Linked DNA regions of Drosophila melanogaster. The protein of the gene in region 1 purifies or fractionates together with the protein of each later gene. This does not show direct contact. Each region holds a gene or a part of one and is shown on either strand. Other genes may lie near its edges. The genes, in order: Fmo-1 and Cyp6d4.

Region 1 (4,218 bases):
GTGCCAGCTCCTCTACGAACTCCATCCTAATCCTAATCCCCTTGCTCCGCCTTGCAGTACAAACTAAATTTAACTGGCATAACCGGAGGACTCACCTCGGAGCGGTCGAACGAGAACATGGCCGGCGGCATGTGCGATTCCAAGGGGACGACGAGCAGCAGCGACATTCCCTGACATTACGGGATGGCTCGCCGAGCCAAGGGGGATGCGCGAAGGACGAGGGTGTCCTTCCTGCTGTTCTGAGAGGAGCCCGGGGGTTTTGCTATCGTAGTCTACACTGTTGGCACTGCATTCCGTTTTGTGTACGCGTATTAGTTGGCGGCCGCTTCTAGCGTTGATTAATGTCGAAAACTTTATTAACATACGAGTCCAATTAGTTGTTTCAGCAGCACGATCTTATAATGCATATTTTGTTTCACTACATTCGATGTTACGGCAATAAAGGTAACGCAGATGCAGATACATATGTATCTCGAGCTCTTTCACTTGGGTCTACAAGTCGGTGCGTAGATAGTTCCTGCTGCTTTCGTTCACGATGTGAGTGCGGGGCATCATGTTGCAGCAGCTCATCTTCGGTTCCTGCGAAAGATTGTACACCTTGAGGGCCACTGTTTCCTTCGACTGGTCTGTTTGGACGGTGGAGTCCCTCAGCTTCAGCAGGTTCTTGAAGAACATCAGGTCCAGGGCGAACAGAGCGGCGCAGATGAAGCAAAGTGCTCCCAATGCATAGGCAAATATCAGCAGATCTTCGGACAGCTGCTCCACCGTGAAGAATATCAGTAGTCCTGGAGGAGAGAGTTCATCACTCTGACATTACTGCATCCCAGGAGCCATATTACCCTCTATGGTGAAGAACAGAACGCCACAGGTCAACAGAATTATCTCACAGGTGCCATAGTTTGAGGTGCCCTCGATGATCCTAAGAGGAGATGGTCTTAGCATATCATATATATATATGTCATAGTCACTGGGTGGTTAGTTACCTCGTGAGCAGCAGCACAGCTGCAATGAAGGTATAGCCCACGAAGGTCAGCGTGCCGAAGTCATCGCCCTCCTTCGACCAGGAGATGCTGTTGAGGAGGGTCCACTCCCTGGACTGCTTCTTGTTGATGGCGAACACCCGTTCCGAGTGCTTGTCCGACAATCGCTTTACAATCAGGGCCGCCACCGTGGCAATCTAATGGGGATGTATCTCTATCATTCAAGGTAACTCAAAGTCTCCTTCTAACTCGAAGATACTCGCCAGTTGGAGAACTTTGGTGCAGATGCAAGCTGGTAGCCCCATGTTAGACGATCTTGACGTGCACTTTGCTACTGCGGCACGTACGTTCCGAATCCGCCTGACCCATGCAAATTTTCTCACATTCAATTTCGCAGTTTAGCGTGGGAAAAGACGAACTCAAAGAAGTTGGCCTCATGGCCCATAGTCCATAATAGCCCAAAACCTTGAACTGCTCAACGAATCGAGCACATCTGAGCATCTGTGGGCAATTGCTGTGCCGCCTATGCTTCCTATCGGCAGTGTAAATATTAATATAATAAATATATATGTTTATATGCCCCATAAACAAAAGGCGAGACAAAAGCAGAGGCTTTATGCTCTTTCTTATCAGCGCGATTACAAAAAACAAGCACAGCGATTCATACGGATTGCGAATGCAAGATACTCTCATTAGACTTGCATAATTTTACTACTTAAAGGCCTCAGCGAACCTCTCAATGAAGTCCAAGTACCCAACTTTTGCAGGGCTATCAGGCGGGGAAGCCAAAGAGCTCATCACGGTGCGATCCTCAGTTTCGTGGAGGCAATCGGCGTGTAGAAAGCAATCCCGGCCTATCTCACTTAGGATCGCAGCTAGCAATTAAAATTAATATAAGCTGTAACCAATACTGTAATATGATGAGCGTTTGCATAATTGGGGCCGGAACCGCGGGTCTTTGCTGTGCCCGCCATTCGATTGCAAATGGGTTCGAGACCACTGTGTTCGAGCTATCTGACCGAATCGGCGGCACCTGGGTTTACAATGAGGCAACAGGGGCGGTCAATGGCATCGATGTCCACAGCAGCATGTACAAGAACCTACGGTACGTAAATCTTTCGAAAAACCATTTGATATTCTAAGAGTTTCCGGGCCTCTTCAAAGAACCAACCTGCCCAAGGAGGTAATGGGCTTCCCGGACTTCGAAATCGGGGCAAACGAGGCTTCCTATGTGAGATCCGACGAGATCTGCGACTTCCTTAACCAATACGCGAACCATTTCGACCTGAAGAAGCACATCAAGTTCGATAGCTATGTGATTCGAGTTTTGCAGAGGAAAACAAAGTGGCAAGTAAGTCGTGGAGTCAGCTTTATATATAACCACTTAACTGAAACGTTTGCAGGTACTTTTCAAAGACTTGGTCACCAACAAGATAGAGTTCCAGTACTTCGACAAGGTCTTGGTGGCCAATGGCCACTACCACACTCCGAATTATAGCCAAATTCCGAATATGGAAAGGTTTAAAGGGCAGTTCCTGCACAGCCACGACTTCAGAAGTAGGGAGGTTTTCGAAGGTAATTAAGGAATAACTTCTATTAGGTTATTTCACATGGTGTTCCATTCTGCTCAAGGTAAATCCGTTCTGGTCATTGGAGCTGGTCCCAGTGGCATGGACCTGTCGAACATCATTTCCCGAACGGCGGATCGGGTCACCATAAGTCACCACTTGACCGATATCGGGCAACACTCATTCTTCGAGAACGTACAGCAGAAACCCGATGTGCGGGAGCTCGATGAGAAGGGAGCCTTTTTCGTGGACGGATCGTACCAGGAGTTCGACACCGTCTTCTTTTGCACAGGTTACAAGTACGCCTTTCCCTTCCTGACCGTCGACTCGGGCATCTATGTGGAGGACAACTACGTCCAGGAGCTGTACAAGCAGTGCATCAACATCAGGAACCCATCCATGGCTCTGATCGGACTGCCGTTTTACGTTTGTGCCGCCCAAATGATGGACATCCAAGCGAGGTTCATCATGAGCTACTACAACGGATCCAACGAGTTGCCGTCCACGGAGGATATGCTCAAGGACACCCGCGATAGGATGGGCAAACTGTGGGCGGAGGGACTAAGAAAACGCCATGCCCACATGCTGGGTCCCAAGCAAGTGCGATGCAAGTTGGCTTTACTTCTCTATCTGGTTATTAATTCTATTCTCATTTATTATCAAGATCGACTATTTCACGGACTTGTCGCAAACTGCAGGAGTTAAGAACATCAAGCCTGTGATGACCAAATTGCACAACGAAAGCAGCAAGTGCTTCAATGAGAATTTGCTCCACTTCCGGGAGGACAATTTCGCGATTCTGGACGACGAGACATTCATTAAACTCAACTAGATCCTGAATCAATCAATAGGAGCATTAGATTCCAAAACATCGTTTTTGGACTTCCCTTCGAAATAAAATAAATTTCCAATTCTTGTATTCCAAAACAACAGTTTAAAAAATGAGCTTTTATTCTCGAACAAAAACTTTTTGAACACCGGCAAACATTTGTTTGAACATGTTTGTTGGTATTTTTCCAAACAGCTGATTGCGGGCAGCGCACATTCACCAGCTCTGGCCACACTCGCCCGCCTCCTCGCAATCACCTTCTTGCATAATTTTCGGAACACCTCACTTCGCTTTCAAAGTTCGCTGATTTAGGTCGGGTCTTCAAAAGTGGAATAGCGCCTCGTCATGCAGTGTCCGTTCTTGAACCGCTTCACCGCCAGCTTCATCCGCAACTACGCGGAGACGCTGTGCCAATCCTACGGGAGCCACTGTCCCGTGGTTGGGAAGACCTTGGTATCCGGCGAGAAGAAACTTTCACTCGTCGCCGCAAGTGTTACAAGGTCTCACTCGACGGGGGCGAACGCCCACGCCAATGCTGGTGGCCCCGCAACTGCCAACGCCACCGCTCCCGTCTCCGCCCCCGCCTCTGCCGATCCTGGCAAGGCATCCGCCAAGGAGACCTTTCCCTACGAGCGCTTCTTCAACGAGCAGATCATGAAGAAGAAGCGGGACCATTCCTACAGGGTCTTCAAGAAGGTGAACCGCCTGGCAGGCGACGGGCTTTTCCCCCACGCCCTGGAGTACTCGGAGCGGACGGAAAAGCCCATTACGGTGTGGTGCTCCAATGACTACCTGGGAATGTCCGCCCACCCCGGCGTCAAGAGGGCCGTCCAGGACGCGC
Region 2 (4,718 bases), on another chromosome or scaffold:
GTCCACGGATGCAGCTGAACCAGGCCACGGCATTTATCGATGCCTCCGTCGTGTACGGCAATCTGGAGCAGCGGCAAAATCAGCTGCGCAGCTTTATCAACGGATCTCTTCGGATGTTTGTCACGGATGATGGTCGCCAGCTATTGCCCATTTCCTCGAATCCGGCAGATGGCTGCAATCGTGTCCAGATGACTCGACTGGGTAAATACTGTTTCGAGTCCGGCGATGATCGGGCCAATGAGAACCTGTTGCTCACATCTATGCATTTGCTGTGGGCTAGACATCACAACTATTTGGCTCGACAATTGCAGGAGCAGAATCCACATTGGGAGGATGAGCGGCTCTACCAGGAAGCCCGAAAGATTCTTGGTGCTCAGATGGCACACATCACCTACAATGAGTTTTTGCCAGTGCTGCTGGGGAAGAATATCAGCGAGGCCAAGGGCTTGCTGCCTGCCAAACACAATCTAAATGCTCCGGATACGTATGACCCGGAGGTGGATCCAAGTATTGCCAATTGCTTTGCAGCAGCCGCATTTCGATTTGCACACACTCTTCTACCGGGATTGTTTAATATCTCGAGGGATAACAGCACTCCCGAGGCCATCGAACTGCACAAGATGCTCTTCAATCCATTCTCGCTCTGGGCGGAGCATGGCATTGACCACGCCCTGATGACAGCGGCCAATACGCCGGTGATGCAAGTGGATCGCTTCTTTTCACTGGAAGTCACGCAAAAGCTTTTCGAAGGCACCGCAGAGGATAGGGTGCCTCTTTGTGGACTCGATTTGGTATCCTTAAACATTCAGAGGGGTCGGGATCATGGCATACCCTCGTATCCAGTCTTCCGTCGCCATTGCCGCCTGCCGACGGTGGACACGTGGGAGGAGATGTCACAGGCCATTGACAACGCTACTCTGGACTCCATCCGGCAGATTTATGAGTAAGTAAAGTTCTCGATTATAGTATTGCCTTAAAGGTAAACACTTTTGGTTTTTAGATCTCCGCAGGATGTGGACGTCTATACGGGTGCACTTAGTGAGCCGCCACTGGATGGAGCTATTTTTGGTCCGTTGCTCAGCTGCATGGTTTCCGACCAGTTCCTACGCCTCAAACTAGGTGACTCCCATTGGTACGAACGGAAAATGGGCCCACAGAAGTTCACCAAAGGTGAGAGTCCTTGGAAGTCCTATTTTCTCATTAAGAATCGTGTTTATCCTGATTCATAAGCTCAATTGGCGGAGATCTACAAGACCAGTCTGGCCGCCATCATTTGTCGCAACTCAGATGGAATCACCCGAGTGAGGGAGCATGTTATGCAGAGACTGCGCGATGGAGGTAATCCCCATGTGGATTGCCAGGACCTGGAGGGATTCCATTTCAATTTCGAACCCTGGTCCGAGAAGCAACAGCCCCAGGATCTTCATAGTGCCGGCATAAGCAGGGGATCCACTTCGGTGCGAGTAATGTCCAAGGCAAATCATCAAGCCCACAACGTAACCCTACATATTGATAAAGGAATCTAGTTAGAAACAAGATTCAATTTTGATTAGGAAGGATTTAATATTAAATATTATAAAAAACATATACTTCTAAACCGGTTCCTTCTATTTTAAAATAGAGTTGCTATGCTAAAGTTAGTTAACTAAACAGCAGCCCATCATAAATCAACAATAAGTCAACGAATTCTAAGATTATAAATCAACTTTTAAGTATTTTGTATATAATAATTGTTAGCTTATAACATAAGAGCTTTGTTTTGCATTTCACCATTAATATAAAGCTGTCATCAAGACTATCAATGTAGCTTTGTTCATTTAGAATTCTTCGCTGTAAAGAATTAAGAGAACGTTACTGCCAAAGAGAACAAATAATCGACGAATTTCAGCGCATATAAGTGGAGGCTCTCCAGTTTGATAGTCAGTTATATATTGACTTTCGCAGAGAAAGGGTGGATTTAAAAAAAAGAAAAGGTGCACTACTTCGACTATGTTTTCGCTGATTTTATTGGCCGTAACGCTATTGACTTTGGCGTGGTTCTATCTGAAGCGCCACTATGAGTACTGGGAGCGACGCGGATTTCCATTTGAAAAACACTCCGGGATTCCATTCGGTTGCTTGGACAGTGTGTGGCGGCAGGAGAAGAGCATGGGCTTGGCCATCTACGATGTGTATGTGAAGAGTAAAGAGCGCGTCTTGGGCATTTATTTGCTCTTCCGTCCGGCTGTTTTGATCAGAGACGCCGATCTGGCTCGCCGTGTTCTGGCCCAGGATTTCGCCAGTTTCCACGATCGCGGCGTTTACGTTGATGAGGAACGGGATCCCCTGTCGGCCAATATCTTCTCGCTTCGCGGTCAGAGCTGGCGATCGATGAGGCACATGTTGTCGCCATGTTTCACATCCGGAAAGTTGAAGAGCATGTTCAGCACATCCGAGGATATTGGTGACAAGATGGTGGCCCATCTGCAAAAGGAGCTGCCGGAGGAGGGCTTCAAGGAGGTGGACATAAAGAAAGTGATGCAAAACTATGCCATTGACATTATAGCCTCGACTATCTTTGGCTTGGATGTAAATAGCTTCGAAAATCCTGATAACAAGTTCCGTAAACTGGTGTCGTTGGCCAGAGCCAATAATAGATTCAATGCCATGTTCGGCATGATGATCTTCCTGGTGCCCTCGTAAGTAATAAGTGAGAGTGAGTTTTGCTATGGTGTGTCTAATGGATGTTCTTGTAGGATAGCACAGTTCCTATTCAGAATAGGTTTTAAAAATCCAGTTGGCCTGGCCATGTTGCAGATTGTCAAGGAAACCGTTGAGTATCGCGAGAAACATGGAATAGTGCGCAAGGATCTGTTGCAGTTGCTCATTCAGCTGAGGAATACCGGCAAGATAGACGAGAATGACGAGAAGTCCTTTAGCATTCAGAAGACACCCGATGGTAAGTCATAATACAAGTTAAATTCTAATCAAGATAGATTGAGTGGTTTAACGTTTTCAGGTCATATTAAAACCATATCCTTGGAGGCCATCACCGCTCAGGCTTTTATATTCTACATCGCTGGTCAGGAGACCACCGGATCGACTGCAGCCTTTACCATCTACGAGCTGGCTCAGTATCCAGAGCTACTGAAGCGCCTGCAGGATGAAGTGGACGAGACACTGGCCAAAAACGACGGAAAGATCACCTACGATTCCCTGAACAAGATGGAATTTTTGGACCTGTGTGTGCAGGAAACCATTCGCAAATATCCGGGTCTTCCCATTCTGAATCGTGAATGCACCCAGGACTACACAGTACCCGACACCAACCACGTCATTCCGAAGGGAACGCCAGTTGTGATCTCCCTGTACGGCATTCACCATGATGCAGAGTACTTCCCGGATCCCGAGACCTATGATCCCGAACGCTTCTCGGAGGAGAGTCGCAATTATAATCCCACTGCATTCATGCCGTTTGGCGAGGGTCCCAGGATTTGCATTGCCCAGAGGATGGGTCGTATTAACTCCAAACTGGCCATCATCAAGATCCTACAGAACTTCAATGTCGAGGTGATGAGCAGGAGCGAAATAGAGTTCGAGAACAGTGGCATTGCCTTGATTCCCAAACATGGAGTGCGAGTGCGTTTGTCCAAAAGAGTGCCTAAATTATCATAAAAATTACAATTGCAATGATGAAATACAATAGTTAAGTGGCTAGCAAATCACTCCGATTATTTGGAATGATAAGAGATTACCGTCAGATAAAAAACAAAAAGTGTACAATAAATTCATTATCAAATCATTAATTAATATTTAAATTCGAAAATAACTTTTATGAATTAACATAGTTTCTTGTTATAATAATGTTACTTTTAACTCGCTCTCTATTTATAGGTATTATGTAAATTATAAAGTTGAAATGAATATGTGTGTTTTGTTAATTTATTTGCTAAAGTTGCCTAGGTGCAATCCATCTGTTTGCTGTTGAAATACCTTTTATGATTGTCCTTATCGTTATCATAAGTATGCAATGATACGAGAACCAACTGCGATTACCAATTACTAATGTCACCAAGAGATAGCATAGGGTAACATATTGTATATTCAGTGTGGTAAAAATAATGAACTTTCTAAACCGTTTTCTATAATCAGATGTATTACCAATAAATACAATAGACCAGAAAACAACAAAAAGTGAGGTCAACAATTTTTATTGAATGCAATGCCAGTGCTGTGGAATTCTTCACAATTCAAGGAGTCATGGATAAAGATAGTATGTACAATAACAAAAGCAGTGTGCTAACCGTCCAGTCAATTTGCTTTCCAGAAATCCGACTATTCCGATAATTCCGATTTATCCGATTATTTCGATTTATTTGCTTTCGCGCTCCTCCAATTGCTGCATCTCCTTTTCATTTTGCAACATTTTCTGTTTGTTCTTTTGCCGAAAGATTTCCTTGCTGGCTTCTTTGATGGCCTCGAAGATTTTGGCCTGCGACATGATTTGCTTTTGAACATTTTCCACAGCTGGCTCGGCATTGATATCGATCAAATCACTTAGACCTTCGGATAAATACTCATTGTTATAGGGTTTCTCTTCGACTTCGTTGCGTTTGAATAGCGAGAATGGCGGATACGAGGGATACGTACGCTTTCGTCCACAGCCTGTAAATCGTCCGGATTGTAATGGATATTATTATATATTGTATTAAAATTACCTGTAAATGCATTGCAAAACG

Evidence for each region.
Region 2: the proteins of Fmo-1 (region 1) and Cyp6d4 purify together in Drosophila melanogaster (affinity purification with mass spectrometry, with the first as the bait; one large-scale study listed by BioGRID). This does not show direct contact.

Annotation. Positions count from the first base shown.
Region 1 is NT_033778.4:23,961,163-23,965,380, forward strand, and holds Fmo-1 (Flavin-containing monooxygenase 1), read left to right. Parts: upstream 1-1,793; 5' UTR 1,794-1,897; coding exon 1,898-2,085; intron 2,086-2,144; coding exon 2,145-2,331; intron 2,332-2,383; coding exon 2,384-2,555; intron 2,556-2,612; coding exon 2,613-3,148; intron 3,149-3,212; coding exon 3,213-3,380; 3' UTR 3,381-3,479; downstream 3,480-4,218. Other genes in the region: alpha-Catr (alpha-catenin related), read left to right, coding at 58-174; CG13566 (uncharacterized protein), read right to left, coding at 493-785, 840-919, 984-1,177, 1,244-1,285; Alas (aminolevulinate synthase), read left to right, coding at 3,723-4,218.
Region 2 is NT_033777.3:22,696,407-22,701,124, forward strand, and holds Cyp6d4 (cytochrome P450 6d4), read left to right. Parts: upstream 1-1,912; 5' UTR 1,913-1,989; coding exon 1,990-2,678; intron 2,679-2,735; coding exon 2,736-2,938; intron 2,939-2,998; coding exon 2,999-3,654; 3' UTR 3,655-3,901; downstream 3,902-4,718. Other genes in the region: cd (cardinal), read left to right, coding at 1-943, 1,001-1,170, 1,231-1,526; CCAP (crustacean cardioactive peptide), read right to left, coding at 4,352-4,644, 4,698-4,718. UniProt on the Drosophila melanogaster protein: May be involved in the metabolism of insect hormones and in the breakdown of synthetic insecticides.